Lonchura striata: one gene and its partner. The protein of the gene in region 2 purifies or fractionates together with the protein of the main gene of each other region. This does not show direct contact. Links are inferred from orthologs where the notes say so. Each region holds a gene or a part of one and is shown on either strand. Other genes may lie near its edges.

Evidence for each region.
Region 1: the proteins of TRMT112 (region 2) and ALKBH8 purify together in Homo sapiens (co-immunoprecipitation; 3 studies listed by IntAct, with this or other methods). This does not show direct contact. The link is inferred for Lonchura striata from reciprocal best matches to the Homo sapiens genes TRMT112 and ALKBH8.

Annotation. Positions count from the first base shown.
Region 1 is NC_134604.1:44,218,949-44,235,634, forward strand, and holds the start of ALKBH8 (tRNA (carboxymethyluridine(34)-5-O)-methyltransferase ALKBH8), read right to left. Parts: upstream 7,921-16,686; 5' UTR 7,892-7,920; intron 7,253-7,891; coding exon 7,067-7,252; intron 3,178-7,066; coding exon 3,037-3,177; intron 1,124-3,036; coding exon 883-1,123; intron 1-882.
Region 2 is NC_134638.1:1,906,192-1,922,416, reverse strand, and holds TRMT112 (multifunctional methyltransferase subunit TRM112-like protein), read right to left. Parts: upstream 8,050-16,225; 5' UTR 7,959-8,049; coding exon 7,878-7,958; intron 6,803-7,877; coding exon 6,701-6,802; intron 4,889-6,700; coding exon 4,796-4,888; intron 4,703-4,795; coding exon 4,601-4,702; 3' UTR 3,905-4,600; downstream 1-3,904. Other genes in the region: BANF1 (barrier-to-autointegration factor), read right to left, coding at 46-171; non-structural maintenance of chromosomes element 3 homolog, read left to right, coding at 10,415-10,456, 10,567-10,638, 10,732-10,795, 10,882-10,961, 11,034-11,128, 11,687-11,766, 11,851-11,893, 11,970-12,032 and 2 more. UniProt on the Homo sapiens protein: Acts as an activator of both rRNA/tRNA and protein methyltransferases. Together with methyltransferase BUD23, methylates the N(7) position of a guanine in 18S rRNA.

The DNA of each region.
Region 1 (16,686 bases), on a different chromosome or scaffold from region 2:
GATCTCTTTTTGTCACGACAAAACAGAGTAAGGCCCGAGTTTTGCATCATTGAAGTGCTTTCTAAAATTTTACTGAATAAGAGGAACAAGACTTTACTATTCAAACATAAAACTGCTCGTGGTTTTCCTGTAAAAATAATGATAAACATAATTTCCTAACCACTTCACTGAATTTCATTTTAATTTTGTGGAATTTTAGTGATTTACCATATCAGCAGATTGCTTCTCCAGACAGAGAGTTCTCTGTAACCAAATATGAACAAATATGGAGTACAGAACAATATGTATCAGAAAGTAAAACATCATTGATGTTGGGACATTCAGTTTGCTACCCTGAGAGCTTAAAAAAAAGCTATTTGCTAGCAGAACATACAGACCAAGACCAGGAACCCTTTTTGCTAGGCTTTATGAAAGCTCACAGAAAGAGCAACAGTTCTTGCAGTAAATAGCTTATAATCAGCCAAACACAAAAAAAATTTGAGGGGAAGGGGGGAAAAAAGGACAGAAATTTCATTGTGTATATTTTTTCTTGGGGCTGAGACAGAGATTGCAGGTCACACAAGAAATTCAATGAACTGTCCAGAGAGTCTCCAGGCTTCTAGATCACAAAACCTTCATGTGCAGCATTGAATGGTCAGAAAATCACTCAAATCTTTTTTTCCCTTTTCCTTCCAAGTAATAGAGCTGAAATTAGAGTATCCTGACCAGGAATACAAGGAGCAAAGATTATTTTATGTCCTGAATCTCAGATTCTAGCTTTCATTCTCTGTGTCTACATACAAGAACGAGTGTGCTTTTACCTATATTTACAACTCAGAAAGTAAAAACAAAGGGGAGCAGTATGCATGGAGCTGGATATATAGGAGAGCAGAAAAACTGTACCTTTTTCCACAAAATTAATGTATAGAATAATGTTTTGGCCACAGTCTTCCAGTGTTACTTCCTTTCCATTAAGGGTGTTAAAGGCTTTTTTGGCTTCTTCTGTTGTCCTGTATTTCACAAATGAATATGGTTTATTTGGTGGCATTAAGAGTGTTTCCATTGCTCCATATTCTTCTAGTATTCTGAGCAATTGCTGTCTACTCATCCCATTACCAAGACCAGCATTGGCAATAACCAGGCTCTAATTGAAAAATAATTTAAAAACAAAAACAAACAAAGAATTAGTGATTATCGTTGGTTCATTTAAAACTAACATTTTACCAAGAGAAAGTGGCTGTAGTTATCAGCACTATAAAGAAAAATTAAACCCATGAGCACTCTTATGTATTCTGCACAAGATATCTACATTTCCATGAGCTTTGCTTGCCCAGCACATGGTGTGGCTGAAAGCCTTGCAACCTTTATCAGAAACACCTCCTCAGTTAATGCATGCTTTCAAGTGCCATGTGTGCTTGTAGTATGCTTGTCACAAACAGTGGCATTGGCACATAATTTTGGTGGTTTCTGGAACAGCTGGGAATGGGAAAAGTGTTCAATTAATTCAAACAACAGCATTTTGCTTCTCTTAAAAAAAAAAAACAACCAAACAAACAAAACAAACAAACAAAAAAAAAAACCACAGAAAATGAGGTTTAGAACCAAAGAGGAGGGTCATTTAAAAAAATTATACACTGACCACTGCTGTGATTATGCCTATTGTGAAGGCTCTGAGGCTCTGATAACATCTGTTCTAAGCTCTGCATCAGGCTTTCTGTTATGGATCATATTTTTCAAGGTTTACCTCATTATTAATTACTGCTATTATCTGGAATGTTATTGATGGAGAGTCCTATGTGTGTGAAGGACATGCATAGGTTCAAGCTGCTCCTTTCACTTAATCTACAAAGATCCCACTACACATCTGCTGGAGCACATGCAGCAACTGATGATGTAATTCATAGATGGACTCTTGCACAAGCCTGGAAGTATTTTCTATATTCCTGACACAAGTTTACCACTAGCATTATGATTTTGTTTTATGCATCACTTATTCAAGTGTTCTGTCACCAATAAGGACCTTGCTGGACCCCAGAATTATTCTTTGGAGAGATTAGATAGATAATTTGGTACCTGGGACAGTTTCAAGGGGAACAAGTCCCAAATTACAGACCCATTTCTAAGCAACAATAGAAAAACACACTCTTTGTTCTAAAGAGTTTACAACATAAACAAGATTGCCGAGTCATTAACATCCGTCCATGTGGTTTGAAATTGGAGAAAAAATTAAACCACATTAAAAAAATGTATAAAGATCTAACTGATGCTTCCATATTTGAATGGGAAGAATTTGCAGGATCAGGATGAACAAGCATACGGTAAATGATACTGCTCTACAGTGTTTCAAGCCATTTATATTTCTTCATAAATGAGAGAGGGAAATTAGAAACCCTTACTTCCCTTTCTGTCTGCAAGTTCCTGTCACATTTTGCTATATCAGTATCTGCAAGGTAATCCTCTGATCTGCTGTAACTCTACTGTGGCAGAACACTACAAATCAAAAAATCCAAGTAGCTTTCTACTAGGTCTCTTTACTGCATGGAAAGAGAAAGCTGTGCCTATTTAAACAGCTGCAAGTCAGCCAACCAGCTCAATTCCCACAGAACCACAGCCTTAATTTGTTTAGAGGAAAAAAAGATGGAAAAGATATTCAAGACAGACATGCTTTTAATGGGGAGCATAGATGAGACAAATTACACTTGACAGAGAACCATGGAGGATAGAATGGTACAAAAGTTAAAAGCCTGAGAGAAAAAAAAAGAAACCACAGAAAAAGAGAAGAAAAGTGTATCTATTTCAATAGCATTTCCAAGGCTTCCTCTTCCTCCTCAATCCAAGTAACTACTGTTTCAGGTTAAAAAAAACATTATCCAAAGGCCAAAGTCTCTCCATAGACCCCAAACTGCTCAAGTACCATTCTGCTTTGAAATCAAAGAAGCACAGAAAACCCTTAATCTTGGGAAGTCCCTTTTTAAAAACTGCATTTTACATAAGACACATGAGAGAAGAGAACACAGATAAGCAGCATTTTAACATTACCATCAAAATCGCAACTACCTGTGTGGCACGGGAGACACACTGTATGCCCTCATGTCTCATCAATGTATGCTGAGCTCTGACCTGCTTCCTCAATACCTTCTTCTTCATTTTCTGGACTTCCAAATGATCTTCACTGGTTTTAGCTTCCATACTGGTGTTCTGGAAAGCAAAAATAACAACACGTAGTGAGTGTCCTGCCTGAAAAGGATCTCTCCCAGAAATAAATCTTTAAAAGATTGCTATGATGCTTTATTTCATTTTCCCATTTTTCTCTTCCTCTTCACTTGAACAGAACATGAGAAAAAAATTATGTGCGGAACTGCCTGAGATTCACATTGTCTCAGCTTCTCAGTTATTCTCATGCCTTACCAAAAGCTTGAGTCAGAGATTAAATGTGTGACACCTTTTACCTAATTGCACCCAAGTGTGACATTTGGCCAAACTTGCCTTTCTTGAGCATAGAAAAATGTGTGCAATACTTAAATGTCCTAGAGCAAGCAATTAGGATGCTCCACACATCATTTACCACATCTCCCAAACTTAATGAAAATCACATTCCTGTTGTGCGAAGGAACAGAAAATTGTATATATATATATATATATATATGTATTAACTACTGCATTTCATAGCAACACAGCATTTACCAACCAGTGAATACTTACAGGTCAATGACATTCTTCAGGTTTTGCTGCATCTTTTGCCAACTTTTGGTCTAACACTACACTGAGATCATGCAGTACCTTCCCTCATTTATTTAAGCCTATATTCTTTTCCTTTCTTTTTTCTACTTCCTTCAAATCCAAGGGAGGAGTCCAGATCTCATGTAAGATTATGACAAAGCTCCCAGACATTGATGCAGTTTGACTTTATCTCTCCCTGTAACATAATCCCTTACCTTTATCTTAGAGGTACTTCTTTGCCAAAAATCCTCCTAACAGTATAGCTGGACAATCCAACTGCAGCTGTCTGTCCTATTCCATTCTTTTATCAGCACTGACCTGACAACAATCCTTTCATCTTCTCTTCCTGTCAAAAAATGGTTTTGTTTCAGCTATTTTTAAGGGAAAAAAAAAAAAAACCAAACCAAAAACAAACTAGATCAATCACCCCTCTATGTTACTATTTAACATTGTCAACTGCCCCAACAGTCACTCATCCACTTACATGCCTTCTGGCTTGCATGACTGCAGAGCTCCTTCCCAATACCTAAACTGCAGACACAACCATGATAATATGACAATGTACTACAAAAAATGGTAAAGATAAAAAACCCCTCATATTAGTATTTGCAGGAACTTTGTGTTGAATAACTTAGCAAAAATTTTGTTTTAAACAAGCACTGATATGCTAGTAAAATTGTTATAAGAGATTGAAGTGTTGCACAGGAGCTGTAAGTATGTACTCCCTGTGATTGCTGCAGCATTACCATCATCAACCTGCACAACTTTTAACTGCACTGCACAAAAATAATCTTTAAAGAGAATCAGATTGACAAAAGCACTCTGTGGAAATGAAAAATTCTAATGCTCCAAAAAGGAGCAGGATCAATGCTGTCAAAGAAGACTAAGTCTTTTTCCCTTCCTTTCCACTTACTAGTTAATCCTCCTACCATTCCTGTTCCATTCTCAAACACAATGTTACAGGGGCCTTAAATGAATTGAAACCCTTGTCAACAACACTTTTAAGCAAACATGGCAAGTTACTGGCATGGTGAGCATCAACAATTTTCTCCTGATATAGTTTCAGATGCCTGCTAACAAGTTTGAGGTGGCACATGCAAGGCCTTAACAGTTTGAACCCTGACTTCCTGGCGTTCTTCAAGTTTTTACACATCTGACCACATAACGATCACATTTATATCTGTGTCTGACCAAAGGGGAAAAAAAACCAACCATAAAAACCACTTAATAAACTACTCAGCGCCAAAATCCATACTACCACCATTAGACAATTCACATTTCCTAGGATCTCCTAAAATCACAACCATGCTCACAAGCAACAGAGACAAAATGCATAAGACAAAAATCTCACAAGCACCAAAACTGAAACAGGGCAGAAAAAGGAGAAGACTACTACAATAATTAACCCCACATGACTTCAAAAATGAAGTGTAGAGGCTGAAAATATCAATAAGTTATGGAATCAATCTTGATCTCTGCATAATTAGTTTTATTACAGATTTGTAGGAAATGTCTGCCATTTTCCCTTTAAAGCAACAGTGCTCATTAGGGGCTTTTTGCGTATTTTATACTCTGATTTTTTCCCTTCCCTTCCTCAAATTCTTGGTACCTTCTTAAATAATCGTTTTCCCTTCCTGATGGCACATTTGAAAACAGGCCACAGATGGTTATTTGAAAACAACATTCTTCCTTCTAAAGACAAAACAGTTCAAAGTAAGATTCTTCACTTAATCAACAAACAGTGTTAAATACACAGAGAGCAATGCTTCTCTTACCTTTCATTAGTTAAATAATGACCAAAAAAAAAATCTCAAACTTGCTTAAACCAAAAAAAGAAAGCAAAGTGGGAGACACAAAAAAAAAACAACCAAACAAACAAACAAAAAAAAACAAACCCAACGAAACAAAAAAATCCAACACCCAATAGCATAAGATAATTAGAAGCCAAGGTAACTTAGAGGGGAAAAATAAAAGCCTCATGAAAAGAAGCACAGAAAGTTTTATGAAATAAATTCTCCTAAGTGCATCAGTGCATCTAATGGATTACCCTTACCAAGGTTCAGCTGATTTGCAGGCTCCTTCAGCAAACCTACTATGACCAAGCTGTGCAATTATAAGACTCCATAGAATCACAAAATCATTTAGGTTAAAAAAGACCTGTAAGGTTGAGTCCAACTGTTAATCCAGAACTGCCAAGTCCACTACTAAACCCTATGTCCCTAATCATCACCATCTATATAACTGGGTCCAAAAGGCTTGGCCTGTCCCACCTTATTTGCCACACACAGATAAAAAAGGCCTACATCTTTACAGCCTACACCTGAGCAGGTTCCTCTTTGGAGAGTGTCAGGCAGTCCCAAACTACTCCACAGGAAAATGACACATCTTTGACTTGGTTAGTTTACAGAAAGAGCAAAAATACAGGACAGGTTAATACTTTGGAACCCAGCAAATTGGATTTTGATGGAAAAGCATGGACACTATGCACATCACCCATACCAGTCAGACCACTGTCATGCAGCCTGCAAAACTTCAAACTGAAAGGGTCAGGCCTCTCCCATAACAGCTACACCTCCACATACTGGAAGACTTCATCTGATATTTGGGGAAAACAGTTTTGAGTTTAGTCAGGCCTTAAGTCAGGTCTTCACAAATACCCACATTCTCCAGGCAAAGGCAAAGAAGTCATGCCACAATATTTGTTAAACTAGCACAGAAACTGAAAGACTACTTTTTATCCTTTCATAACCCCCGAACAAGGGACAGCTGAGGTGTGACTCAGCTGTCTAAATAGCACATAACACTGGCAGAGATGACCTATCCCACAACACTCAGCTCTTCTGCTGCTCAAGAAGCTGAAGACCTTCCTGATGTACTGTGTCATGCTTGCCAGCATCACTCTGGGGCCACCAGCTTCTGAAGGCATCTTAAGCAGTAATACCTGCATAGCTGAGACAGCAGGATATTCCCTTGGTCTCCTTCTGAACCGTGTCTAAACTCTGTGTCTTGTCTGTTGCGTCATTACCAGTGGCTCAATTCGGCAGGCACAGGAACCAAGTCTGCCCTGTTTCTGAATGAAGGAAACGCACTCAACTGTACAGAAGTAGGAAACTTAATTTGCTAGGATCTCACACCTTCTTTAGAAAGGCCAATATGACTACAGAATAAAAAGAGTTAATCCACTGTTGAATTCATTACTGTTACCACCAAGTTTTACAACGAGTATTTTTAAAAGTAGCTCCTGAAAATACAGACTGAAAACGGTTTCCCCTTGCAATAGGAGCTATGGGTACACGCACGTTACAAAACTGGCCTGAAGTTACTACAGAGGTTAATGTAAAGCTTTAATGCAATGCACAAAGCTTACTTGCTGTAGAAGCAGCTTCTGAAACCTGGAGTACCTGGCGGCCGGGCGGAGCTGAGCGGCGGCTGTCGGCAGAGGGAGCGCCACGATCAGGGATGAGCTGGGCTCTTTGTTACTCACTTTCGGCTTGCTTTTGCGCCGCAGACACGCCACAACAAACGTATAAGGACGCAGCATTAACACAGACATCTGGGGGGAATAAAACACATTCAGGAGGCACGAAGGTGAGATTTAAGAGCTCCAGCAAGGACCAAACGCGCCTGAAGGCACCAGCACAGCCAAGCACCAGCCTGTCCCTGTGGCTGCCCCATCCCGCCTCTGCCAGGGACAGCCAGCACCAAAGCTCCCACCGACACCCCGGAAACAATGACAACAGGAACAACCACAGGAGCGTGCCATAGAACCACACAATGTGAAGGGTTTGAATAGACCTTAAATATCACCCAGTCCAAACCCCGTGTCATGGGCAGGGGCGCGTCCTACCAGACCAGGATTCTCAAAGCTTTGAACACTGCCAGGACTGGGGCACCCACAGCCTCCCTGCGCAACTTGTTCCAGGCCTCACCACCTTCACAGCAGCGTCCCCTCTGCTCTGCCCCGAGGACACACGGGGGAGGCCACAAAAGCTTTGCGGCAGACGTAGGGACGGATTTGGCCTTGGCCCCCTCCTGACATGGCCGGAGACAGAGCCGCGGGCTCTGCTCCCCGCACAGGCGGCACGGCGGGGACGGGAGGGGAGCCAGCGGCGGAGCGGAGCCAGCGGCGGAGGCCGCCTGCGCCCCCGCGGCTGCCCGGCCCCGCCGCAGCCCGGCGCGGCGGGCGCGTTACCTGCAGGAAGCGGCCATGTCGGGGCGGGCACAGCGCGGCACCGCCCCGCCGGCATGGCACCGCCCCGCTGCCCGCGGAGTCCCGGCGGCGTTTGGCGGCTGCAGGCGGCTGTGGCTTTATTACAGGTCAGGGAAGCCAAGCTTTGAGGTTCAGCAAGGCAAGTGCTAGGTCCTGCACTGGGGTCACAGTAAGTCGCAGCACCACAGGCCAGGGGAAGAGTGACTGGGAAGGACCTGGCTGTGCTGGTCAAGAGCAGCTGAACGTGCCCCAGGGTGTGCCCAGGTGTCCAAGGAGGCCGATGGCACCCTGGCCTGATCAGCACTGCTGTGCCAGCAGGAGCAGGGCAGTGACCGTCCCCCTGCACTCAGCACTGCTGAGGCCACACCTCCAACCCTGGGCTCCGTTCTGGGCCCCTCACTGCAAGAAAGACATTGAGGGGCTGGAGCGTGTCCAGAGAGGGGCAGCGGGGCTGGGGAAGGGGCTGGAGCACAAGGGCTGTGAGGAGCAGCTGAGGGAGCTGGGGGGGTCAGCCTGGAGAACAGGAGGCTCGGGGGGACCTCACTGCTCTCTGCAGCTGCCCGAAAGGAGGATGTGGCCAGGTGGGGTCGGCCTCTTCTCCCAGGTAACAAGTGACAGAACAACAGGATGTAGTCTTAAGCTGCAGGAGGTTCAGGTTGGACATTAGGAGGCAGTTCTTAATGGAAAGACTGATTAGACCTTGGAATAGACTGCCCAGGGAGGTGGTAGAGTCACCATCCCTGGAGATGTTTAGGAAAAGACTGGTCGTGGCACTTAATGCCACGGCCTATTTGACGTGGTGGTGCTAGGTCAAATGTTGGATTCATGATCTCCAAAGGTCTTTCCCAACCTGACTAGCTCTCTGATTCTTTGGCAGCAGCCAATTCTATGGGCCAAGATTTCCCAATGACCCGGCCAGGACTCTCCTGCGGCACACAGCCGTGTCCTGGGGAGAGGGACATCTATGCTGGATGGATCCAGGGCAGTCTGTGTGGCAAGGGGAAGGAGGAGAGCGGCCCCCTACAACCACCTTCCATGGACACACACTTACTGTCACTGTGCCACCCCCTGTTCCTGCTCACTCCATGCTTCCTGACTCCACTTGCCAGCAGGTCCTCCCTGTGCCACATTTTCTCCAAGTAGTGCCAGGTCTTTACCAACCTGCTCTCCATCCAGAGTCTCCCTCTGAGTCCTCACAAGTGCAATGCTTTAGCCCTATGTGCAGTGGGACATCATCCTTCAGCCCCAAACCTGCATTCATTTATCCATTGAAGCCTCCCCCAGCACAGGGGATCCAAAACCAGATGGGGGAAGCCACATCCACATGGCAAGTTAAAGACAGCTTCCACCAGGCCAGGATGGCTTAAAGACAGCATCATGGCTTCTCCCAGGCTCAGGCGCTCACCAGAAGAGACCATCCCCTGGACAAGCCACCATCACAACCAGCACTGATCATGTTACCTTTGGCACAATGCAGCACTCAAGACAGAGGAAGATAAAACCATGCCAGTCCAGACAAGGCCATGGGAAGACCAAGCCCATGGTTGTATGTAAATATTCTGCACCGCTCTTGGCCTGGCCAGCAACCACCCTAAGGCTGTGGAATGAACCCACGCTAGTGAGAGGCCTGCCTCACTGAAAGGAAGCATCTTAACACCTCTCTGATTCCCTGTGGAGAAAATGGTCCCTTAAATCAAAGATACAGTGTGTAAGCCTTTGTTTCATTTTTCTTCACAGGCTAACCAAGCTGCATACTATGCTCCTAGACATAACTTTTCTCCCTTATTTATCCAAAATGCTGGAATTTGAGATTGCCTACCTTTTGTTTACCTGACAAATATTCTACTTCTCACTGCATCTTATTACCTGAAGCCTAACTCTTTTTTTGTCTCTCTCTGTTTACTTTTCCTCCCTCAGCCTCCTGTGAATATGTAATCTTTCTCAGCATCAATGATGTGTGGGATTCCCAGGCAGGTGTTATGTAAGGTATGACTGATGAGCCTGTAAACCTGTAGATTGAAGCCAGCTCCTCAAGCTTTTCCCAGATGCCCACTCTGGAGGAATCTACCTATGGCTGTGCTTACCCAGAAGAAAACAATAAAAAATCCAACCAACCAAGAAACAACAACAAAAAATTCATTTCTCTTTCCTTTGGAATGTATACCATGCCGTGTGCCAAGGACACAGTTGTTCCATGTACAGAAGGTACAAGTGCACTAAGCATGTGAAGCTGACAGGGCATATCCACCAGCCTGTAATATTTGGAAGGTAGGAATTACTTGGTTAGAAGTGGTGGTTCCACTTCTTTTCCTCCACCACAGTCACCTTCTGTCCTTGACCCACACAGTGGATAGCAAAGTGTTGTGATAGCACAGATATTCTGCCTAAGTTTTCTTATAATTAAAGTACTGCCTACCCAGTAGGCAGCAAATATATGAATACTCTTGTACAGCATAGAGCTTTTTAACCTTTGTGAACACTAAGCCTTAGCATCACCTGCTCTTCTTGGTAGCCAGAATGAATGGAGAAAGAACCAGGCTGCATCAACAGCTGCTGTCTCTATTAAACGATTCTCTGAGGCTCTCAGCCCTGGAAACCACCCAACCCTGAAAGCTGCTGAAAGGATGATGCTAATGATACCAGTTTATAATTCATTACCAATTTGTTCTGACAAGTGGAAAATACCTGCCCAAAGGTTGTTTCTCTTAAGTGTTCACATTCTAGGTTCTGTGCACTCTCCATTCTATATGCATGTCTATGTGCATTCTCTGGGAGATAACAAACTGACTGTGAAGTTCTTTTTTTTTTTTTTTAGTATCTCTGTATGATTAGCAGTGGTCAAGAATTTTTCATGCGTATTGCAATAGCATTTCCTCTGATAATGCATCAATATTTTTCTTCTATAAACAACATTCTTACATAGGAAATTTCCACCATTTAAAAGGAAAACAGTTAAAGGCTGGTTAGGGGTTTAATACAAGCATATTTCAAACCAGAACTGTTATGCCCTTCATGATTTAAGGCCAGAAGCACTGTTCATTCTCCTCTGCTGCTAGATGGGTACAGGCTCCTCCTACAGATACCACTTATTGACAAGTAAAAATACATCTCCATTAACAACATTATCACTGACTAACCCACAAAAGAGTTCACCGAAGTGGGGATTCAAATAAATTCACCTTCAATATAGATGTTAATAAAATCTCTGACTTAAAGTGTGTTAGTAGAAAACTCACTATTTCTTTTCAAAAATCCCTTTTGTATAATTTTAATATTTTGGTTTATATGTCAGCAAATATTCTAGTTTGATATTAAATCTTAATAGTTTTCTTAAGAAAAAATAAGGTTTTTATCAGAAAATCTTGGCTCTGCTCTATTTTTTTAATTCATAAAGAGGAAAGATGTTTTCTAAAGCAGAATATCATGCTCCCATTTAGTCATAGGTGAAAAGTAAAATCCTACTGACTTTTCTCAGGAACAAATTACACTATTTGCTATGCTGTTAGCTATTTTATCTTGGCCACATTCCCAGGGAAAATCAAGGTGTTTGTCAGTCCCTGGGAATCAACTTCATAGGATAACAAGTAAACACTTCTATTTCCTTCAACAAACAAGAGGTTACTGGTCCGTAGGTGGAAAGATAATCTTACTCCTTTTTATAGCAAACCATGCTGTAGCCTAATGTGATCACACTGGATTTCCATTAATTTCAAACCCAATTAAAAGGGAATCTCAAGAAGATAGGATTTTCTGTATCAAATCTCTTGGTATAAGAAACTGCAGTTTAAGAATCATGACAAATAGGATATATTTCAGGATAGCATTTTGTTACAGAAATAAGAAGAAACCTCTTTAGCACTAAATCTAGCTCAAAATCACCCATGACTACTCCTGTAGAGAAGTACTGTAATAAAGGATGAGACACAAGATAAATTGTTTTAGGATAGCATTAATGTAATAATTCAGCACTTGGACAAATATGTGTTGACCTAAATTCAAAATGTGCAACTGCTGCTGCTTGAGATAATAAAAGTCTCCATTACAAACCTTTGCAATGCCAAGAGTTTATATTTTTCAGGACGAAGGCAAGGCTGGCTCTGTGCTGCATGTCATTTTTATTCTGTGTTTGTGCTGTTCAATGTTAGATTTACTATTTCTTTCTGAAAAAGAAAAACAGTCAGAAAAAAACAACTTTTAGAAGTTTGTTAGCAATTGCATAAGACTGAAAGAGTCATGAGAAGACTGGGTCCTCTTAAAAGCAGTGGGATATTCAAATGCTAATGATGAAAATGCTTGTATTCTAAAGGGACTTAAAATGTCAAGTAGTATCAATATGCTTTCTGGTTTCTAAGCTTTAGCCTACATTCTGTTAATATCTCCAAACTTTTTCAAGCTTTTCTTCCACAAATGTAAGATTTTATAGTACTTTTCTTCCCCTTTCCTTTAATAAAAAAAGCTGCACTTTTCCTAAAATTTCAATACTCAGTGTATTGTAACTTCAGGAAATACACTAAATAGCACAAATCTCACAGTAAAACTGTAATATTTGGCAACACTGCATTTCTGGCACAGATACATGATTATTGTCAGGTTCACTTTCACTGTTACCTGTTGTGATCCTCTTGTGGAGCAAGCTTCTTTAGCATGATGACACAGCTTTTTCTGAGCAGCGTGATTCCAGTTCTCTACTGGGACAGCTACAGAACTTGTCATCTACAGAACCAAACCAGTCAGTGAATGTTTAGGATTGGACAGGGGTTAGCTAAACTGAAGACTTCTGCTATGCCATGAGATTGCACTAATGAAGTTCAAGGCTGTTTATTAAATGCAGGGAGGAACAGCTTTAGCTTCTGTTCTCAGACACACTGCAAAAGAATGCCTACACTGCTGGGTGACCATTAATATTGCACTTGAAGTGGGAGCACAATCTGTAAGCCTCGACAAACAGAAAATCTTTGATCCTTTTCTGGTGAGTCTTCAGAAAATTCCTGTGAACTTTCAGGCATAAGACAGAAATTACTGTAGTTATGATGTGCCTGCTTCAAGTCTGAAGATACTTCATTATATGTACTACCAGTGCAAAGAATCAGCTCTTGAGAGGTTCCTGCAACATGTGGACATACATGTAAAAAAATAGATAATTTCTTGATTTCATTAAGAAAGACCCCAAGAAATGTAAATTCCCTAAACATAACTACTGGAAAGCATAATATCCATGAATTTAATTCAGAAATTCCCGGGGAAGCTCCTGCCAGCTTTTTCTGCTCAAATAAAACTTCTCAGTGAATGGTCCTCAGACTTCAAAGTCCCACATGCACCAGTACTCAGCAAACCATACATTGCATGAAATTGTTTTGTCCTCAGTTTTTACTTCCTTTTGGCATAAACAGTCTTGGTGACTTAGGGCTTTAAATCCTTCCAATGCCATGCAAGCTTTAAAGAAAAGATGATAATTCTCAGCTGAATAGGATTGTTGCTTTCACTGCTGCTGTGACTCTTTCTCCGCAGTTCAGGCAAAGTTTAGGTGAGATTATTTACCAGTTTAGTACACTTTCTGGGGTGTCATAAAAGTAAGATGGAATACTGAAAGAACCATACAAAATATTGATTTCCCTCTAAATCACTCAACCCATCAACACATGGTGTAGTTTAGCTTTGAAAGCAATGTTGTTAGAAATGAGTCTCACAAAATATTTGTTTTCTCTGACATGCATACTAAAAATTGTCATCCCTTCAAAGTCTGCATGTACTTTACATTCTCTTCTGGCTCTTTATGCCTGTTTTACATTAAACAAATAGGAAATATAATTTTTTAAAAATGCTATTTGAACTATATAACTATACTCTTCTGGCCATACAGTCAAAATCTTACAGTAACCTGGGAAAACTCAGTTCTGTCACAAATAATTAGGATTTGTTAGGCATTTGGGAAGCAATGCGACCTTGCACAGGGATCCTCCCTGATAGCTATACTAGGCAGGCAGTCTGCTGTCCTGCATATCCTTGGAAAACATAGTTTCTCACAGTTATAACTTCAGGGCATAAATGTATCACAAGGACAATCATGGAGTATCAGGCTCTGACTCTTGTCTACTTGAGCAATCAATACAATTTTAAGGTTGTAGTGCTGGCAGTTTGGACACTATCTGTGAAGTTAATTTTTAAAGACATAGTGCTGTTTACATAAGAGAACTAAATGTTACATTTCCATCGTGAGATCCTTGGTGCCCCCACTGACTGGAGAGAATATTGCAATGTATTCCTTGGACTGGGACTCCATTCTTCCATCTCCTTTCAGTCATCATGTCAGGAGAACTCATTAGCTGTTGCTCATGCAACAAGTTTACTTTCTTTATAAGAACAGCTGTTCAACCATAAGTTAAAATTTTCTAATGGTCACCCCATTTGCTGCTCTTGTAATCTAGTTTTCATTACTTCTTTGGATCTATGTGCACACTTGACATATCAGGGAAACAGGAATTGTAAGCTTTTAAGCTGAATAGGCAAAAGAAGAAAAAAGAAAGAAGATGCATCCCAATTTTGTGATTTTTCTTTTACAAACACCACTTGTCTGTGAGTCAGTTTGCTGATCTGTATGACATTTACTTAAATATTTACCCATATCACCAGGGGTTGTGAATCCTCATGAATCATTGTTGGTGAAAAACTTCATAATCTTTGCATGAAGTGTAGCACATATATTCAGAGTATGCATCTAATTAATGGCAGAAGATTAATGAAAATAAGAGATTTTTTTAAATCATTTTTTTCCTTGTTCAAAATTTAGTTAAAATTTTTCTTTTATAAATGCAAATATTTTTCACACAGACATAATATGGTTGGTACACATCTTGGTGATGATTAGAACACAGTTGCAGCATATTCGAGTTTGTTCAATTTTATTAAGAGAAAAAAGTAGGTATTGCTAGTCTATAGTATTTGAAACTCATGTCTACACCACTTTATTTTATTCTTTCTATGCAGAAATATCCACCAGAATTATTTAAATTAAAGTATTATACCATTAAATGCTCTTAATTTATATGTAGACAAAGTATTTTCTGGCAAAATTCTTTGCTTCAATAAATGGATGAATTAAATGGGCATACTGGCTGCTTCCCTTAGCTGTCGTCTCTCTAAAGGCTCTATGAGTAAGCCTGACACACTTCATATCTCACATTACCATCATCTACAGGCTTCTGTTAGTGTCTCCCATCTTAAATTTTATGGCATCTTCAGTCAAAGAGATACAAGTGCAGTGAAGTGTGGGACTGGAAATGAACAAAACAACTGGGAGATTGGCTTAAAAATTATCCTGAAGCTTGTGTACACACAGCCCTAGTTGCTATAATATCGGGGCGTGAGAGCCATATAATTCACTTCCAAAGGACTATCTATATTTGATGCTTGTCCTAAGCCAAACACAAACAATTACCAGCTGACAAGAATCCTCTCAAAAAGGGCAAGTGAGGAAATTTAAGAACAGCCTGAGAAGCTTGTCATTTATGGAGAGTAGCCTATCTCATGCTGATTGAGAACTAGAGGGATTGATAACCTGAACTACAGATTTTGGAAAGTGAGGTAAGAAAACTCCTTATGTAAATAGGGAAGGTTTTCCTATTCCTTCCTTGTCCTTTCTTCCTACAACTCTAAAGATTTTTCCAGCAGTACTAGGATTGTTAGGTAAAATACCTTCTTTCTTGTTGATTGTAAGTCAAAGAATACAAGTGTAGCTAAAGTATTTCTGCTAGCTCTGTATTGTCACAAATGAAAAATGCTACTTGTTAAAAGGAAAAAATAATACCTAAAACCATAAACTAAAATATAACTTCTTATGAAACATTTATTAATGTTTGGGTGGCACATTGTCTGAGAAGAGTGCTGGGTGATGCTAGGTAGGTTCTTCACAAGGACACAGCACATGTCCTTGTTATCAATTTTGTCTTTATCAGTAATTTCTGTTACAGCAAGAGCGTCTAAAATAATAAGGAGCTTGAGCTTTTTATTTTTCACTAATATCTGAGCAAGGTATGTTGCTATCTGGTTTTTCTGCTGCTTCTGTCACCTTCTTTCCAATGCTAAATTAATCATGCAGATGACCTTGCTGTTTTATTAAGCACAGCAGGCTGTATGAGCTATTGCTGGAAAAGCGTGACATTGCTCAACTAGTGGGGTCCTACATCTATATTTTTCTAATATGATTTCACTGCCACTTCTAAGTACAGGCTATATTTCTGCTGTCATGCACAGTTTCTTTCATTTGCCATCAATTAGAAATAATTATGCTGTTAAAAGGAAAGCACATCATAACTGCTTATAAACAGAAGAATTTTTTATAATATGCTGGTTTGCCTCAACTTTCCATGAAACAACAATTCTGAAAACAGGAGTCATAGTAACCTGAGTAGCTTCCATACCAACATATTGAGTGAATTGGTACATCTAACTGAAATTTGACAACAAGGGTCTCAAAAAAAAATCCAGGCAAGTCTGAAATGGTGCTGCATGACTACAGTACAGATATGTACCACTGCGTAATTCCAGAGCATGGACAGAAGGCCATCTGGAAACTCCAAACATGTTGGTCTGATCCCCTAAATTTGCCACAACAGTAAGGGAACAAGGCAATAAGGCTTTCTAGCTCACATTTTGAATTCCTTAATATTTGTGAACAAGACCGTGCCATCTGGGGAAGGCTACTTCTGTAGCAAGGATCTGGCTTTTCATGCTTACAATTCATCTTTCATAATACGAATGAATTGTCTTAAAAATCTCTG
Region 2 (16,225 bases):
CCCAGTGTCCCCAGTGTCCCCAGTGTCCCCAGGGTCCCAGCCCACCTTGTCGAAGCCCTTCTCCTCCAGCTTCCTGCCCAGCACGTCCCCGATGCCGGCCAGGCTCCCCACCGGCTTCTCCCCCATCGGCTCCGCCACGAAGTCCCGGTGCTTCTGTGACGTCGAGGACATGGCGCCTGGGGACACGGGACACTCAGGGGACACGGAGGGGACACGGGGACACTCAGGGGACATCGAGGGGACATGGGGACACTCAGGGACATAGGGACAGCTCAGGGGACACGGGACACTCAGGGGACATCGAGGGGACATAGGGACATGGGGACACTCAGGGGACATGGGGACACTCAGGGGACAGCTCAGGGGACACAGGGACACTCAGGGGACACGGAGGGGACACCAGGACATGGGGACACTCAGGGGACATGGGGACATTAAGGGGACATTGAGGGGACACTCAGGGACATAGGGACGCTCAGGGATATGGGGACACTCAGGGGACATGGAGCGGACACCAGGACATGGGGATGCTCAGGGGACATGGGGACAGCTCAGGGGACATGGAGGGGACACTGGGACATGGGGACACTCAGGGGACAGCTCAGGGGACACAGGGACACTCAGGGACATGGGGACACCAGGACATGGGGACACCAGGACATGGGGACGCTCAGGGGACACGGGGACACTCAGGGGACATGGGGACACTGGGACATGGGGACACTCAGGGGACAGCTCAGGGGACACAGGGACACTCAGGGGACATGGAGCGGACACCAGGACATGGGGATGCTCAGGGGACATGGGGACACTCAGGGACATGGGGACACCAGGACATGGGGACACCAGGACATGGGGACGCTCAGGAGACACAGGGACACTCAGGGGACATGGAGGGGACACTCAGGGACACTGAGGGGACACAGGGACAGCTCAGGGGACACAGGGACTGGACAGGAGACACGAGGACAGCTCGGGGGACATGGAAGGGACACTCAGGGGACACCGGGGACACTCAGGGGACATTGAGGGGACACGGGGACACCAGAGACGCTCAGGGGACACCCAGGGGACACTCAGAGGACATTGAGGGGACATGGGGACTGACAGGGGACACAAAGGGAACACAGAGGGGACACGGGGACTGGACAGGGGACATGGAGGGGACATGGCGACAGCTCAGGGGACATCAAGGGGACACGGGGACAGCTCAGGGGACACTGAGGGGATGCTGAGGGGACAGTGAGGGGAAAATGAGGGGACAGTGAGGTGGCACTAAGGGGACACTGGGGGGACACTGAGGTGGCACTAAGGGGCAATGAGGGGACAATGAGAGAACACTGAGGGGACAATGACGGCACACTTTGGGGACACTGGGGGGACATTGAGGGGACATTGAGGGGACAGTGAGGGGACAGTGAGGGGACACTGAGGTGACACTGAGGGGACAATGAGGTAACACTGGGGGGACAGTGAGGGGACAGCGAGGGGACAGTGAGGGGACACTGAGGTGGCACTGAGGAGACAATGAGGGGACAATGAGGTGGCATTAAGGGGAGACTGAGGGGACAGTGAGGGGACAATGGGGGGCAATGAGGGGACACTGAGGGGACAGTGAGGGGACAATGAGACGGCATTGAGGGGACAGTGAGGTGGCACTAAGGGGAGACTGAGGGGACAGTGAGGGGACAATGAGGAGACACTGAGGTGGCACTAAGGGGGCAGTGAGTTGGCACTGAGGGAGCACGGAGATGGCACTGAGGGGACACTGAGGTGGCACTGAGGGGACAGTGAGGGGACAGTGAGGGGACACTAAGGTGGCACTAAGGAGACAATGAGGGGACACTGAGGTGGCACTGAGGGGACACTGAGAGGACTGTGAGGGGACATTGAGATGGCACTGAGGGGACACTGAGGTGGCACTGAGGTGACACTGAGGTGGCACTAAGGGGCAATGAGGGGACAATGAGAGAACACTGAGGGGACAATGACGGCACACTTTGGGGACACTGGGGGGACATTGAGAGGACATTGAGGGGACACTGAGGTGGCACTGAGGGGACAATGAGGGAACACTGGGGGGACAGTGAGGGGACACCGAGGGGACAGTGAGGGGACACTGAGGTGGCACTGAGGAGACAATGAGGGGACAATGAGGTGGCATTAAGGGGAGACTGAGGGGACAGTGAGGGGACAATGGGGGGCAATGAGGGGACACTGAGGGGACAGTGAGGGGACAATGAGGGAGCACGGAGATGGCACTGAGGGGACAGTGAGTTGGCACTGAGGGAGCACGGAGATGGCACTGAGGGGACACTGAGGGGACAGTGAGGGGACAGTGAGGGGACACTAAGGTGGCACTAAGGAGACAATGAGGGGACACTGAGGTGGCACTGAGGAGACAATGAGGGGACACTAAGGTGGCACTAAGGAGACAATGAGGGGACACTGAGGGAACACAGGGGACACTGTGGGGACAGTGAGGGGACAATGAGGGGACAGTGAGGGGACACTGAGGGGACACTGAGGTGGCACTAAGGGGCAATGAGGGGACAATGAGAGAACACTGAGGGGACAATGACGGCACACTTTGGGGACACTGGGAGGACATTGAGGGGACACTAAGGTGGCACTAAGGAGACAATGAGGGGACACTGAGGTGGCACTAAGGTGACACTGAGATGGCACTGAGGGGACACTGAGGGGACACTGAGAGGACTGTGAGGGGACACTGAGATCGCACTGGGGTGACACTGAGGGGACACTGAGGTGGCACTGAAGGGACACTGAGGTGACACTAAGGGGACACCGGGGCGACACTGAGGGGCCGCCCCCGGCCCTCCCTCCCCTCACAGACTCGCCCCTCCCCTTCCTCCCCTCCCGGCCCTTTCCGCCCCTCCCGGTGCCCTCCGTGTCCCCTTTGTCCCCTCCGTGTCCCCTTTGTCCCCTCCCGGTCCCCCCCTCACCGTCCCCTCGGGCCGCTCCGAGCGCCGCTCCCGCCTCAGCCGCTGCGCGCTGACGTCACTTCCGGCGGCGCCCGCGCGGGCCCTGCGTCACTTCCGCGCGGCGCTCCCGGACCATAGAGACGAGCCGGACTTCCGGGGCGTTATAAATGAGTTTATTCAAAATAAAAATCAGTTTATCTGCGGTCAGATTCTACCTAGCCAGCCCCCAGGAAAGGACAGAGCCGAGCCCGGGGTGTGCAATAATAAATCAGCCTCAGCAGAGGTTTTTGTTATAAATGAAAATGTGTCCGGCCAAATTTAAAATGATAAAATGTTTATTTTGCCATCCAGTTGTACCCAGCCAGCCACAAGGAGAGAACAGAGCCCTGGGGTGTGCAATAATAAATCAGCCTCAGGAGAGGTTTTCCCCTATGCCCACACGCCCATCCTGGCACAAGCGGTTTTTATAGGGAAAATTCAGTTTTTATAGGGAAAATTCGTATTTTTTTATAGGGAAAATTTGGTTTTTATAGGGAAAACTAGGTTTTTATAGGGAAAATTCGGATTTTTTATAGGGAAAATTCGGATTTTTTATAGGGAAAATTAGGTTTTTATAGGGAAAATTCGGTTTTTATAGGGAGAATTCGGTTTTTATAGGGAAAATTTCAGTTTTTATAGGGAAAATTCGGTTTTTATAGGGAAAATTCGGTTTTTATAGGGAGAATTCGGTTTTTATAGGGAAAATTTCAGTTTTTATAGGGAAAATTTCAGTTTTTATAGGGAAAATTCGGTTTTTATAGGGATTCCCAAATTCCCAAACAGCGGCTCCGAGTCACCCCTGAGGATTCCCCATTGTCCCAAAATTCCCTCCTGCCCCCGCCCCGTTCCCTCCATCCCAAAGGATTCTCCTCCAAGAGAGCAAAAGAGGCGATTTTGGCTCAATATCGGGCAAAAAAACCCAAAATTAAAATTGGTTTTTATTAAATTGATGGGGAAAATTACAAATCCAACACGGTAGAACATGGGGGAAAGAGATGGGATTTTGGGAAAAACAAGGAAGAGAAAGGAAAGGTATGGGTAAAAAAAAGGGGGTTAGGGCACAAAAAAGGATTTGATGGGAAAATATTAAAAAAAGAAGGCAAAAAGTTGAGTTTTTGGGGTGAAATCCGGATTTTGGGGGACAAGGGAGGGGAGCGGGACAAAGGAGAGGAATCTGAGGGTAAGGTCAGAGGATTTGGGGATAAAAAGAAGGATTTGGGGAAAAAATAACGGCGACATTCCAAGAAAATAAAAGAATTTAGGGCAAAACTGGGAAGTTTGGGAAGGAAGAAGAAATTTAGAGAGAAGAAAAGAGAATTTGGGAGGGAAAAAAAAAAGGGAAAATTCCTCTCCCGTTATGCAAATAAAACAATTCCCGCTCAAAATGCAAATAAGCTAATTCCTAATTTGCATAAAGGGAGGAGTCACGCCCAATATGCAAATGAGGAGGCTCGAACCACGCCCATCACCGCTTCAACATCGCTGAAATTCCAGCCCCGTTTTTGGGGTAAAACCGTGGGAATTCGGGGTTTTCCCGCCGATCCAGCCTTGGGGGGAGGGGCTCAGCCAAATTTTGGGGACCCCCCCAAGTGGATTTGGGGGTCCCAACTCCCCCCTCAGGCTTCGTCCTCGGTCAGGAGCAGATTTGGGACCCCCCTGGAGATGGGGAAGCGCCGCCCCGAGTCCGGGCACTGCAGGGACCCCTCCAGCACCTCCACCTGCGGTTGGGGGGAAATCTGGGGGTCACGGGGGGGTCCCCAAAATTTGGGAACCCCCCTTCCCCCAAAAAGGGTTTTTTTGGGGTTGCTGACCTCGAGCAGGATGTGGTGGAGGCGGCGCAGGAATTCCTCGTCGGCCTCGTAGCCGGGGGTGGGCTCGGGGGGCAGCTCCGAGGGGCGCCCCAACTTTAGGGGGGTAAAAAGTGGGGAGGGGTCAGAGGGGAACCCCCAGAGCCCCAAAATCCCCATCCAGAACCCAAAATTCCATCCCAGAAACCAAAATTCACTTCCAGATCCCAAAAACAGCCCCAAAATCCCCCCCAGACCTCCAAAATTGCCCCCAAATCCCCCCAAAATAACCCCCAAATCCCCCCTAAAATCACCCCCAAATCCCCCCTAAAATCACCCTCAAATCCCCCCCAAATCTCCCCAGACCTCAAAACTGTCCCAAATCCCCCCAAAATCCCCCCCAGTTCCCGTTCCCATCCCTGTTCCCATTCCCTGTTCCCATTCCCCATCCCCGTTCCTGTTCCCATTCCCATTCCCCATCCCCGTTCCTGTTCCCATTCCCATTCCCCATTTCCCATTCCCATTCTTGTTTCCCGTTCCCGTTCCCCCGTTCCCCCGTTCCCATTCCCCATTCCCCGTTCCCCATTCCTGTTGCCCAGTTCCCGTTCCCATTCCCTGATCCGTTATTCCCGTTCCCTGTTCCCGTTCACCGTTCCCCCTTCCCGTTCCCATTCCCCATTCCCGTTCCCAGTTTCCGTTCCCATTCCCCATTCCCGTTCCCGGTTCCTGTTCCCCATTCTCGTTCCCTTTCCCAGTTCCCGTTTCCCATTCCCCATTCCCATTCCCAGTTCCCGTTATCCCCGTTCCCATGATTCCCCATTCCCATTCCCCATTCCCGTTCCCGTTCCCAGGTTCCCATTTCCCCGTTCCTGTTTCCCATTCCCCATTCCCGTTCCCATTCCCGGTTCCCATTTCCCTTTCCCGTTCCCGTTCCCCATTCCCAGGTTCCCATTTCCCCGTTCCTGTTTCCCATTCCCATTTCCGTTCCCATTCCCTGGTTCCTGTTCTCGTTCCACATTCCCGTTCCCCGTCCCCGTTATTCCCATCCCCTTTCCCATTCCCATTATTCCCGTTCCCGTTATTCCTGTCCCCGTTCCCATTCCCGTTATTCCCGTTCCCCATTTCCCGTTCCCATTCCCATTCCCATTCCCCTTCTCGTTTCCCCGTTCCCCATTCCCGTTATTCCCGTTCCCATTCCCCATTCCCGTCATTCCCCTTTCCCATCACTCCCGTCATTCCCATCTCTCCCGTTATCCCCGTCACTCCCGTTATCCCCGTCATCCCCGTCACTCCCGTTATCCCCGTCACTCCCATCATTCCCGTCACTCCCGTCATTCCCATCTCTCCCGTTATCCCCATCATTCCCATCACTCCCGTTGTCACTCCCGTCACTCCCGTTATCCCCGTCACTCCCGGTATCCCTGTCACTCCCGTTGTCACTCCCGTTGTCACTCCTGTCACTCCCGTTGTCACTCCCGTCATTCCCATTGTCATTCCTGTCACTCCCGTTATCCCTGTCACTCCCGTTATCCCTGTCACTCCCGTTATCCCCGTCACTCCCGTTATTCCCGTCACTCCCGTCACTCCCGTTGTCACTCCAGTCACTCCCGTCATTCCCATTGTCATCCCCGTCACTCCCGTTGTCACTCCCGTCATTCCCGTCACTCCCGGTATCCCCGTCACTCCCGTCATTCCCGTTGTCATTCCTGTCACTCCCGTTGTCACTCCCGTTGTCACTCCCGTCACTCCCGTCATTCCCATTGTCATTCCCGTCACTCCCGTTGTCACTCCCGTCACTCCCGTTATCCCCGTTATCCCCGTCACTCCCGGTATCCCTGTCACTCCCGTTGTCACTCCCGTTGTCACTCCCGTCATTCCCGTTGTCACTCCCGTCACTCCCGTTATCCCCGCCGTTCCCGTTCCGCTCACGCTCTCGGCCGCCTCCCTCAGCGCGTCCCAGCGCAGCCGCGGCACCAGGCGGGACACGAAGGCGGCGTTGAACGGCACCGGGCGCTCCCGCACCTCGGCGGCCTGCGGGCAACCACGGGCTGAACGGGCTCGTTAGGGGTTAATTAGGGGTTAACGGGGCTCATCAGGGGTTAACAGGGTTAATTAGGGGTTAATTAGGGGTTAACGGGGCTCATTAGGGGTTAACGGGGTTCATTAGGGGTTAATTAGGGGTTAACGGGGCTCATTAGGGGTTAATGGGGTTCATTAGGGGTTAATTAGGAGTTAACGAGGCTCATTAGGGGTTAATGGGGTTCATTAGGGGTTAATTAGGGGTTAACAGGGTTCATTAGGGGTTAATTAGGGGTTAACAGGGTTCATTAGGGATTAACGGAAGTGGGATAACGGGGACTGGGGTAACGGGAACTGGGATAACGGGGACTGGGATAACGGGACTGGGATAACGGGGACTGGGATAACGGGACTGGGGTAACGGGAACTGGGATAACGGGGACTGGGATAACGGGACTGGGATAACGGGACTGGGATAACGGGAATGGGGTAACGGGGACTGGGATAACAGGACTGGGATAACGGGGATGAGATAACGGGGACTGGGATAACAGGACTGGGATAACGGGACTGGGATAACGGGGAATGGGATAACGGGAATGGGATAACGGGGACTGGGATAACGGAACTGGGATAACGGGACTGGGATAACGGGAAGGAACCGGGATAACGGGGACTGGGATAACGGAACGGGATAACGGGAAGGAACCGGGATAACGGGAGGGGATAACGGAACGGGATAACGGGACTAGGATAACGGGAAGGAACCGGGATAACGGGGACTGGGATAGCGGAACGGGGATAACGGGACTGGGATAACGGGGAATGGGATAACGGGACTGGGATAACGGGGAATGGGATAACGAGACTGGGATAACGGGAAGGGGATAACGGGGAATGGGATAACGGGGAATGGCATAACGGGACTGGGATAACGGGACTGGGATAACGGGGAATGGGATAACGGGAACTGGGATAACGGGGACTGGGATAACGGGGAATGGGATAACGGGACTGGGATAACGGGAAGGAACCGGGATAACGGGGACTGGGATAGCGGAACGGGGATAACGGGAGCCCCCCGTACCTCGATCCTCAGGGGGAAGCCGCCCCCGGGCCGCAGCCCCGGCACGTGGGAGCTCAGCAGGTTGTGGGTCAGCAGCTTCATGGCGCCTCTTCCGCTTCCGGCGCGTCACTTCCGGCCAGGAAAGGCGCGCGGTTGCCACGGCAACGGGACGCTGCCAACCCGGAAGTGGGCGTGGCCTGGAGGGTGGGGTTGGCTTAAAGGGGCAGAGACAGGAAAGTGATTAGAATCGATTGAAATGATTTAAAATTAATTAGAATTATTTGAAATTAATTGAAAATGTTTAAAATCATTTAAAATTCATTTAAACTGTTTAGAATAAATTAAAAATATTTAAAATGTATTAAAGTTAATTAAAATTAGTTTAAGCTATTTAAAATTAGTTAAAATTATTTAATATTAATTTTAAAAAATTAAATTATTTTAAATTAATGAAAACTTTAAAATTAATTAAAATTATTTTAAAATAATTAAAAATATTTAAGATTATTTAAAATTAATTAAAACTATTTAAAGCTAAATAAAAATATTTTAAATTATTTAAAATTAATTAAAGTTATTTAAAATTAATTAAAGTTAATTAAAATTAATTAAACTTATTTTAAAAAATTTTAAATATTTAAAATTATTTTAAATTAATTAAGGTTATTTAAAATTAATCAAAGTTATTAAAACTTAATTAAAATTAATTAAAACTGGATAAAATTAATTAAAAATATTTAAAATTATGAAAAATTAATTAAAATTATTTTAAAATAATTAAAAATATTTTAAATTATTTAAAATTCATTAAAACTATATAAAATTAATTAAAATTATTTAAAATTAATTAAAATTTATTAAAGTAATGTAAAATTAATTACAATTCATATAAGCCAATTAAAACGATTTAAAATTCATTAAAATAACTTCAAATTATTTAAAATTATTTAAAAATATTTAAAATTCATTAAAATATTTTAAATTATTTAAAATTCATTAAAGCTAGTTAAAATCAATTAAAATTATTTAAAATTAACTACAATTCATTAAACCCTCCTTGAGGCCCCCAAATCCAACCCAAATCAGAGACAAAGGCGGGGGCACAAATTCAATTTATTTATTCCCAACACCCCCAGAAATCAAAGAGAAACCCCAAAAACGAAGTTGCGGAGATAAGGAAACACCCTGTGAAAAATCTTTAAAATTTCATAAATCTAACAGTAATAAAATGGCTATGAAAATAGTAAATAGAAATTAAAAATATATAAAAATACTATAAAAATAGTAATGCAATTACACTAATAAAATACTTAGAGTTAGGGCAATTACCAGATGATAAAAAGCAAATGATTGTCTTTTTTAATAAGCGCTTCATTATTAAGCTTTTAAATTTTTAAAAACCAAGTGATTGGAGGTTTTATAAACCTGAAAACATATTTAATGCGCTCCTGAAGAGAATTAATTACTCGTGTAATATTCATTTTAATATTTGCAAAAAACCAATCATAAAATTCACATTTTTCACAGGGGGATCCCAATCCCCCCAGAAATCAAAGAGAAACCCCCAAAAACGGAGTTGCAGAAATAAGGAAAAACCCTGTGAAAAATTTTTAAATTTTTATAAATCTAATAAGAATAAAATGGCTATAAAAATAGTAAATATAAATTAAAAATACATAAAAATACTATAAAAATAGTAATGCAATTACAGTAATAAAATACTTACAGTTACAGCGATTCCAAGATGCTAAAAAGCAAATAATTGTATTTTTTAACAAGCGTTTTACTATTAAGTTTTTAAATTTTATAAACCAAGTGATCGGTGGTTTTACAAACCTGAAAATATATTTAATGCGCTCCTGAAGAGAATTGATTACGCGTGTAATATTCATTTCAATATTTGCGAAAAACCAATCATAAAATTCACATTTTTCACAGGGTGGGGACCCCAACCCCCCCCAGCAAACAAAGTTTAATAATAACAACATAATGGTTATAAAAACAGTAAATCTCTGTTTTTTATCGGCTTGCAGCTGTCCTAACTCTAATTATTTGTCGCTATAATTAAGTTATTAATTTTATAACCTTTTTACCGCTCTTTTCCCGCCATTTTCGCCGCCGTGAGGGGAAGGGGGCGGGGCCCGCGCGCGCCGCTCTTTTCCCGCCTTTTTCGCCCCCCTCAGGTTGGTGCGGGGGGGGGGGAAGAGCGCGAGTCTCGCCCGGCGCGCGCCGGGGGGAGGGCGGGGCGAACTCGGGCTCTCGACCAATCGCGACGCGGGGTTGGGATGGTAGGCGGGGCGTGCGGCGGCTGGACCAATGGGAAGCGGCACTGGCGTGGGCGGGACCGGCGGGTGTGGGCGGGGCCGGCGCGGTCGCGGGCGGAGCGCGGTGGGGGACGGTTCTCGTCCCGGCCGCGTCGTTGTCCGGGCCTTGGATGGATTTTTTTTTTCTTTTTTGCGGCCCTGCTGAGGGTGGAACGCGCGGGGCGGCCTCAGGAGTGCTCTGGTGGCTGTTTTAACCCATCCGGTGCTTTTTTCCTCTCAGAGCTGCCGTGAGGAATGTCTCAGCGCAAGCGCAGCAAAGGGCTCGGCTGCTCTCAGGTGAGAGGCGGCTGCCCCGCCACACCCCCCGTTCTCCCCTCATTCGCTCTTTTGGCTGCTGCCGCTCTCTGTCATCACCTCGCCCCGCTTTTCCCGTCGTTTCCCCTCAGCTGCCCGACGGGGAGGATGATTTCATCCCGACGCAGGTGGAGCGGCGCTCGCAGGAGCAGCTGAACCAGAAGGTGGATTGCGGTGATCCCCTCTGCTCCCGCAGTCCCTTTCTCTGCATCCTTTTGCTATCATCCCTCGCCCTTCCCTGCTCCTTGTCCCCACAGGTGAGCGAGCTGGTGCAGTTCCTGCTCGTCAAGGACCAGAAGAAGATTCCTATCAAGAGGGCAGGTGCGTTTCCGCGGTGTTTAAACCCCGAAATCCTTCCTGGCTCAGAGCTCCGACCTCTCTCAGCGTTCCCTGTGTGTTTTCCATAGATATCCTGAAGAATATAATCCGGGAATACAAGGATGCCTACTCGGAAATCATTAAAAGGGCAGACAGGACCCTGCAGGAGGTGGGGGCAGCACGGAAAGGGGGAAGGTTTTGGGGGGGATTAACCTTTGGATTAATCCTTGTCCTCCCGCAGGTTTTTGGGCTGCAGCTGGTGGAGATCGATGCCAAACGCCACATTTACATCCTCATCAATAACCTGCCCTGCGCCCAGGGCGAGCTCCTGTGCAGGTGAGGGGATGCAGCACCCATGGGTGCACCCCTGGGTGATTCCAGCCCCACAGGGCTGACACGGGGAACAGTCCCTTTTTGGGGAGATTGTCCCCAAATTTGGGGTGGATTTGGGGAACAGTCCCTTTTTGGGGGGGATTGTCCCCAAATTTGGGGTGGGACAGGGGGAACAATCCCTTTTTGGGGGGTTCGTCCCCAAATCTGGGGTGGGACATGGGGAACAGTCCCTTTTTGGGGGGTTCATCCCCAAATTTGGGGTGGATTTGGGGAACAGTCCCTTTTTGGGGGGATTGTCCCCATTTTTGGGCGAGACACAGGGGGAACAGTCCCTTTTTGGGGGGATTGTCCCCAAATTTGGGGTGGATTTGGGGAACAGTCCCTTTTTGGGGCACTTTGTCCCCAATTTTAGGAGGGCCACGAATTTCCTTTTTGGGGGAAATGATCCCCATTTTGGGGAGGGTTTCTGGGGGGGGACAGTCCCTTTTTGGGGCACTTTGTCCCCAAATTTTAGGAGGGCCACCAATCCCACCCGCCTGACCACCCCTGTGTGCGCCTCAGGGGCAAGGAGCAGGAGAAGATGGGGCTCCTCTTAGTCATCCTCAGCTTCATCTTCATGAAGGGCAACTCCGTCAAAGACAGTGAGTTCTCCCCAAAACCCCCACCCCGTCCCCCACTTTTTCCCCTTGCACCCCGCTCACTTTGCACCCCTTTTGTTTTTCCAGGTGCTCTGTGGGAATTCCTGCACTTGCTCCGTGTCTACCCCGGGTAGGATCCGGCCGGGGACCCCCGAAATGGGTGGGTGGGCTACTCAGTGCCACCCCTCACTAGCCCCCCTCCTTAGGAAGCAGCACGGCGTCTTCGGGGACGTCCGGAAGCTGGTGACGGAGGAGTTTGTGCGGCAGAAGTGAGTTGGGAGCGGGCTGGAATTTGGGGGTGCAGCGTGGGGGTCCCCCCATGTCCCTTCCCGGTGTGCCCAGAGCGGCCTCGGCGCCAGCCTCGGCCGGGCTGTTTATACCACACCGCAGAGCAAAAACCCGCAGCCCCCCACACCCCGTGGCTCCAAGGGTTCCTCACGGGGTCAGGGCAATGCTGGACACCCCCAAAAAAACCCAAAAAAAACCTTTGTGCACCCCAAAAACCACCCAGCCCTCCGCAGGTACCTGGAGACCACCGCCATCCCCCTGACGGACCCCCCCGAATTCAAGTACCAGTGGGGCCCACGGGCAGAGAAGGAAACCTCCAAGAAGGACGTGCTGAACTTCGTGGCCAAGGTGAGGCCGTGCTCGTGGGGGGCATCTCTGAGTTTTTTTGGGGGGCTCGATTTGATGCCCCCTCCCCTGTTTTTCTCCCGTTCAGATGCAGGGCAAAGACCCCAAATTTTGGGCGAGCCAATACAGCGAGGCCAACAAAGCCACAACCTGACCCCCTTCCCCACCCCACCCCAAAAAAATAAAGGCAGCCCGTTGGTTTGCAGCCCCCTCCCCAAATTTTCAGGCTCTGCTTGGTTGTCCAAGGTTTAATTTTGGGGTGGGGGCTCCCCTTTTCCCCCAAGGGACCCCTCAGAAGTGCTCGGGGACGGTGTTGAGGGCATCGGCTGCGGTGCGGTTGATGTCGACGTTCTGTGGGGTGGAAATGGGGGGTTTTGGGGGGGATCTCCCCACAATTTAACACTCCCCTCAGTTATTTGGGGGGGTTAAGGTGCTCTGCACCCACTTTTTGGGGTGGATTTGGGGATGGGGGCTCTGACCTGGGGTCGTGCCCGGTGGGTGTTCACTGCCTCGATGTTGAGGAAGACGGGCTCGACCTCACACCCTGTTCCAGGGGAAGAAGGGAGCGGTTTTTGGGGGGATTTGTCCCAATTTTGGGGTGGGACACAGGGGGAACAATCACTTTTTGGGGGGATTGTCCCAATTTTGGGGTAGGACATGGGGAACAGTCCCTTTTTGGGGGGTTTGTCCCCAAATTTGGGGTGGGACAGGGGGAACAGTCCCTTTTTGGGGGGGATTGTCCCAAATTTGGGGTGGGACAGGGGGAACAGTCCCTTTTTGGGGGGATTGTCCCAATTTTGGGGTGGGACATGGGGAACAATCTCTTTTTGGGGGGATTGTCACAATTTTGGGGTGGGACATGGGGAACAGTCCCTTTTTGGGGGAATTTGTCCCCAAATTTGGGGTGGGACACAGGGGAACAATCATTTTTTTGGGGGGATTGTCCCAATTTTGGGGTGGGACATGGGGAACAATCCCTTTTTGGGGGGATTGTCCCCAAATTTGGGGTGGATTTGGGGAACAGTCCCTTTTTGGGGGGATTGTCCCCATTTTGGGGTGGGACATGGGGAACAATCTCTTTTTGGGGGGATTGTCCCAATTTTGGGGTGGGACATGGGGAACAATCTCTTTTGGGGGGGATTGTCCCAATTTTGGGGTGGGACATGGGGAACAATCCCTTTTTGGGGGGGATTGTCCCCATTTTGGGGTGGATTTGGGGAACAATCCCTTTTTGGGGTGACCCCACTCACCGTAGGCCACGGGCGTCAGCTTCAGCACCGTGTGCAGGGGGCACTTGAGGTAGGGCAGCTCATCTGGGGAGGGGTTTGAGGGAACTCGGGTGGCCACTGCAGCTCTGGGCTGTCCCCAGCTGTCCCCAAATGTCCCCAGCTGTCCCTGGCTGTCCCCAGCTGTCCCCTCGTTGTCCCCAGCTGTCCCCAGTTGTCCCCAGCTGTCCCCTGGCTGTCTCCAGCTGTCCCCTGGTTGTCCCCAGCTGTCCCCCAACTGTCCCCAACTGTCCCCTGGTTGTCCCCAGGTGTCCCCAGCTGTCCCCTGGCTGTCCCCAGCTGTCCCATGGCTGTCCCCAGCTGTCCCCAGCTGTCCCCTGTTTGTCCCCAGTTGTCCCCAGCTGTCCCCTGGCTGTCCCCAACTGTCCCCAGTTGTCCCCAGCTGTCCCCTGGTTGTCCCCTGGTTGTCCCCAGCTGTCCCCAGCTGTCCCCAGGTGTGTCCCCAACTTTCCCCAGCTGTCCCCAGCTGTCCCCAGTTGTCCCCAGCTGTCCCCAGCTGTCCCCTGGCTGTCCCCAGCTGTCCCCTGGCTGTCCCCAGCTGTCCCCAGCTGTCCCCTGGCTGTCCCCAGCTGTCCCCTGGCTGTCCCCAGCTGTCCCCAGCTGTCCCCTGGCTGTCTCCAGCTGTCCCCTGCTTGTCCCCAGCTGTCCCCAGCTGTCCTCTGGTTGTCCCCAGCTGTCCCCAGCTGTCCCCTGGCTGTCCCCAGCTGTCCTCTGGTTGTCCCCAGCTGTCCCCAACTTTCCCCAGCTGTCCCCGGCTGTCCCCAGCTGTCCCCAGCTGTCCCCAGCTGTCCCCCGGCTGTCCCCAGCTGTCCCCAGCTGTCCCCAGCTGTTCCCAGCTGTCCCCAGTTGTCCCCAGCTGTCCCCTGGTTGTCCCCAGCTGTCCCCAACTTTCCCCAGCTGTCCCCTGGCTGTCCCCAGCTGTCCCCAGTTGTCCCCAGTTGTCCTCTGGCTGTCCCCAGCTGTCCCCTGGCTGTCCCCAGCTGTCCCCAGTTGTCCCCAGCTGTCCCCAGCTGTCCCCTGGTTGTCCCCAGCTGTCCCCTGGCTGTCCCCAGCTGTCCCCTGTTTGTCCCCAGCTGTCCCCAGCTGTCCCCTGGCTGTCCCCAGCTGTGCCCTGGTTGTCCCCTGGTTGTCCCCAGCTGTCCCCGGCTGTCCCCGGCTGTCCCCAGCTGTCCCCAGTTGTCCCCAGCTGTCCCCTGTTTGTCCCCAGTTGTCCCCAGCTGTCCCCTGTTTGTCCCCAGCTGTCCCCAGCTGTCCCCTGGCTGTCCCCAGTTGTCCCCAGCTGTCCCCTGGCTGTCCCCAGTTGTCCCCAGCTGTCCCCTGTTTGTCCCCAGCTGTCCCCAGCTGTCCCCTGGCTGTCCTCAGCTGTCCCCAGCTGTCCCCTGTCTGTCCCCAGCTGTCCCCAGCTGTCCCCAACTTTCCCCAGCTGTCCCCAGCTGTCCCCTGGCTGTCCCCAGCTGTCCCCTGGCTGTCTCCAGCTGTCCTCTGGTTGTCCCCAACTGTCCCCTGGTTGTCCCCGGCTGTCACCTGCGCTCTTGTCCAGGAAGTAGGCCAGCAGGCAGCGCATCACAGCCTGGTGGCAGACGACCAGAACGTTCTCCTGCCGCTCCAGCTCCATGATGACCGGCTCCAGCCGCTGCACCAGGTCCTCGTAGGACTGCGTTGAAGGTTTAGGGGGTGTCCCCAAAACCTCTGCCCCCCAATTTTTTGGGGGCATTTTCGGGGCTCACCTCGCCCTTGGGGTAGCGGTAGCGATATTTGTCCTGGTCCCTCAGCGCCAGCTCCTTGGGGTACCTCTCCTGGATCTCCTCGTAGGTCATCTCCTCGCAGACCCCCTGCGGGACAGCGGCGTTGGGGGGGGGGTTCAGGGGTTAATTTGGGGTGTTTCCCCCCAAAAAACAACCCAAAATCGGGGTGGGGCTCACGGCGTCGATCTCGTTGAGGGCCTTCCACTGCTCGTAGGGCACGCCCAGCGCCTCGGCCGTCTCGATGGTTCTCCTCATGTGGCTGGTCCACACCTTCAGCTCGCGGAGGTCCTGGCTGCGGATGAAGCGCGCCAGCGCCTGCGCGTACTGGGAGGGGTGGGAGGGGTCCCTGCACACCTGGTGGGCTCTGGCACCGCCTGCTGCCCACCAGGGGACAGCCCCAGGTGTGTCCCTGCACACCTGGTGGGCTCTGGCACCGCCTGCTGCCCACCAGGGGACAGCCCCAGGTGTGTCCCTGCACACCTGGTGGGCTCTGATCCCACCCTGTCACACCAGGGGACAGCCCCAGGTGTGTCCCTGCACACCTGGCGGGCTCTGATCCCACCCTGTCACACCAGGGGACAGCCCCAGGTGTGTCCCTGCACACCTGGTGGGCTCTGATCCCACCCTGTCACACCAGGGGACAGCCCCAGGTGTGTCCCTGCACACCTGGCGGGCTCTGATCCCACCCTGTCACACCAGGGACAGCCCCAGGTGTGTCCCTGCACACCTGGTGGGCTCTGATCCCACCCTGTCACACCAGGGGACAGCCCTGTGTCCCCCAGGTGTGTCCCTGCAGGT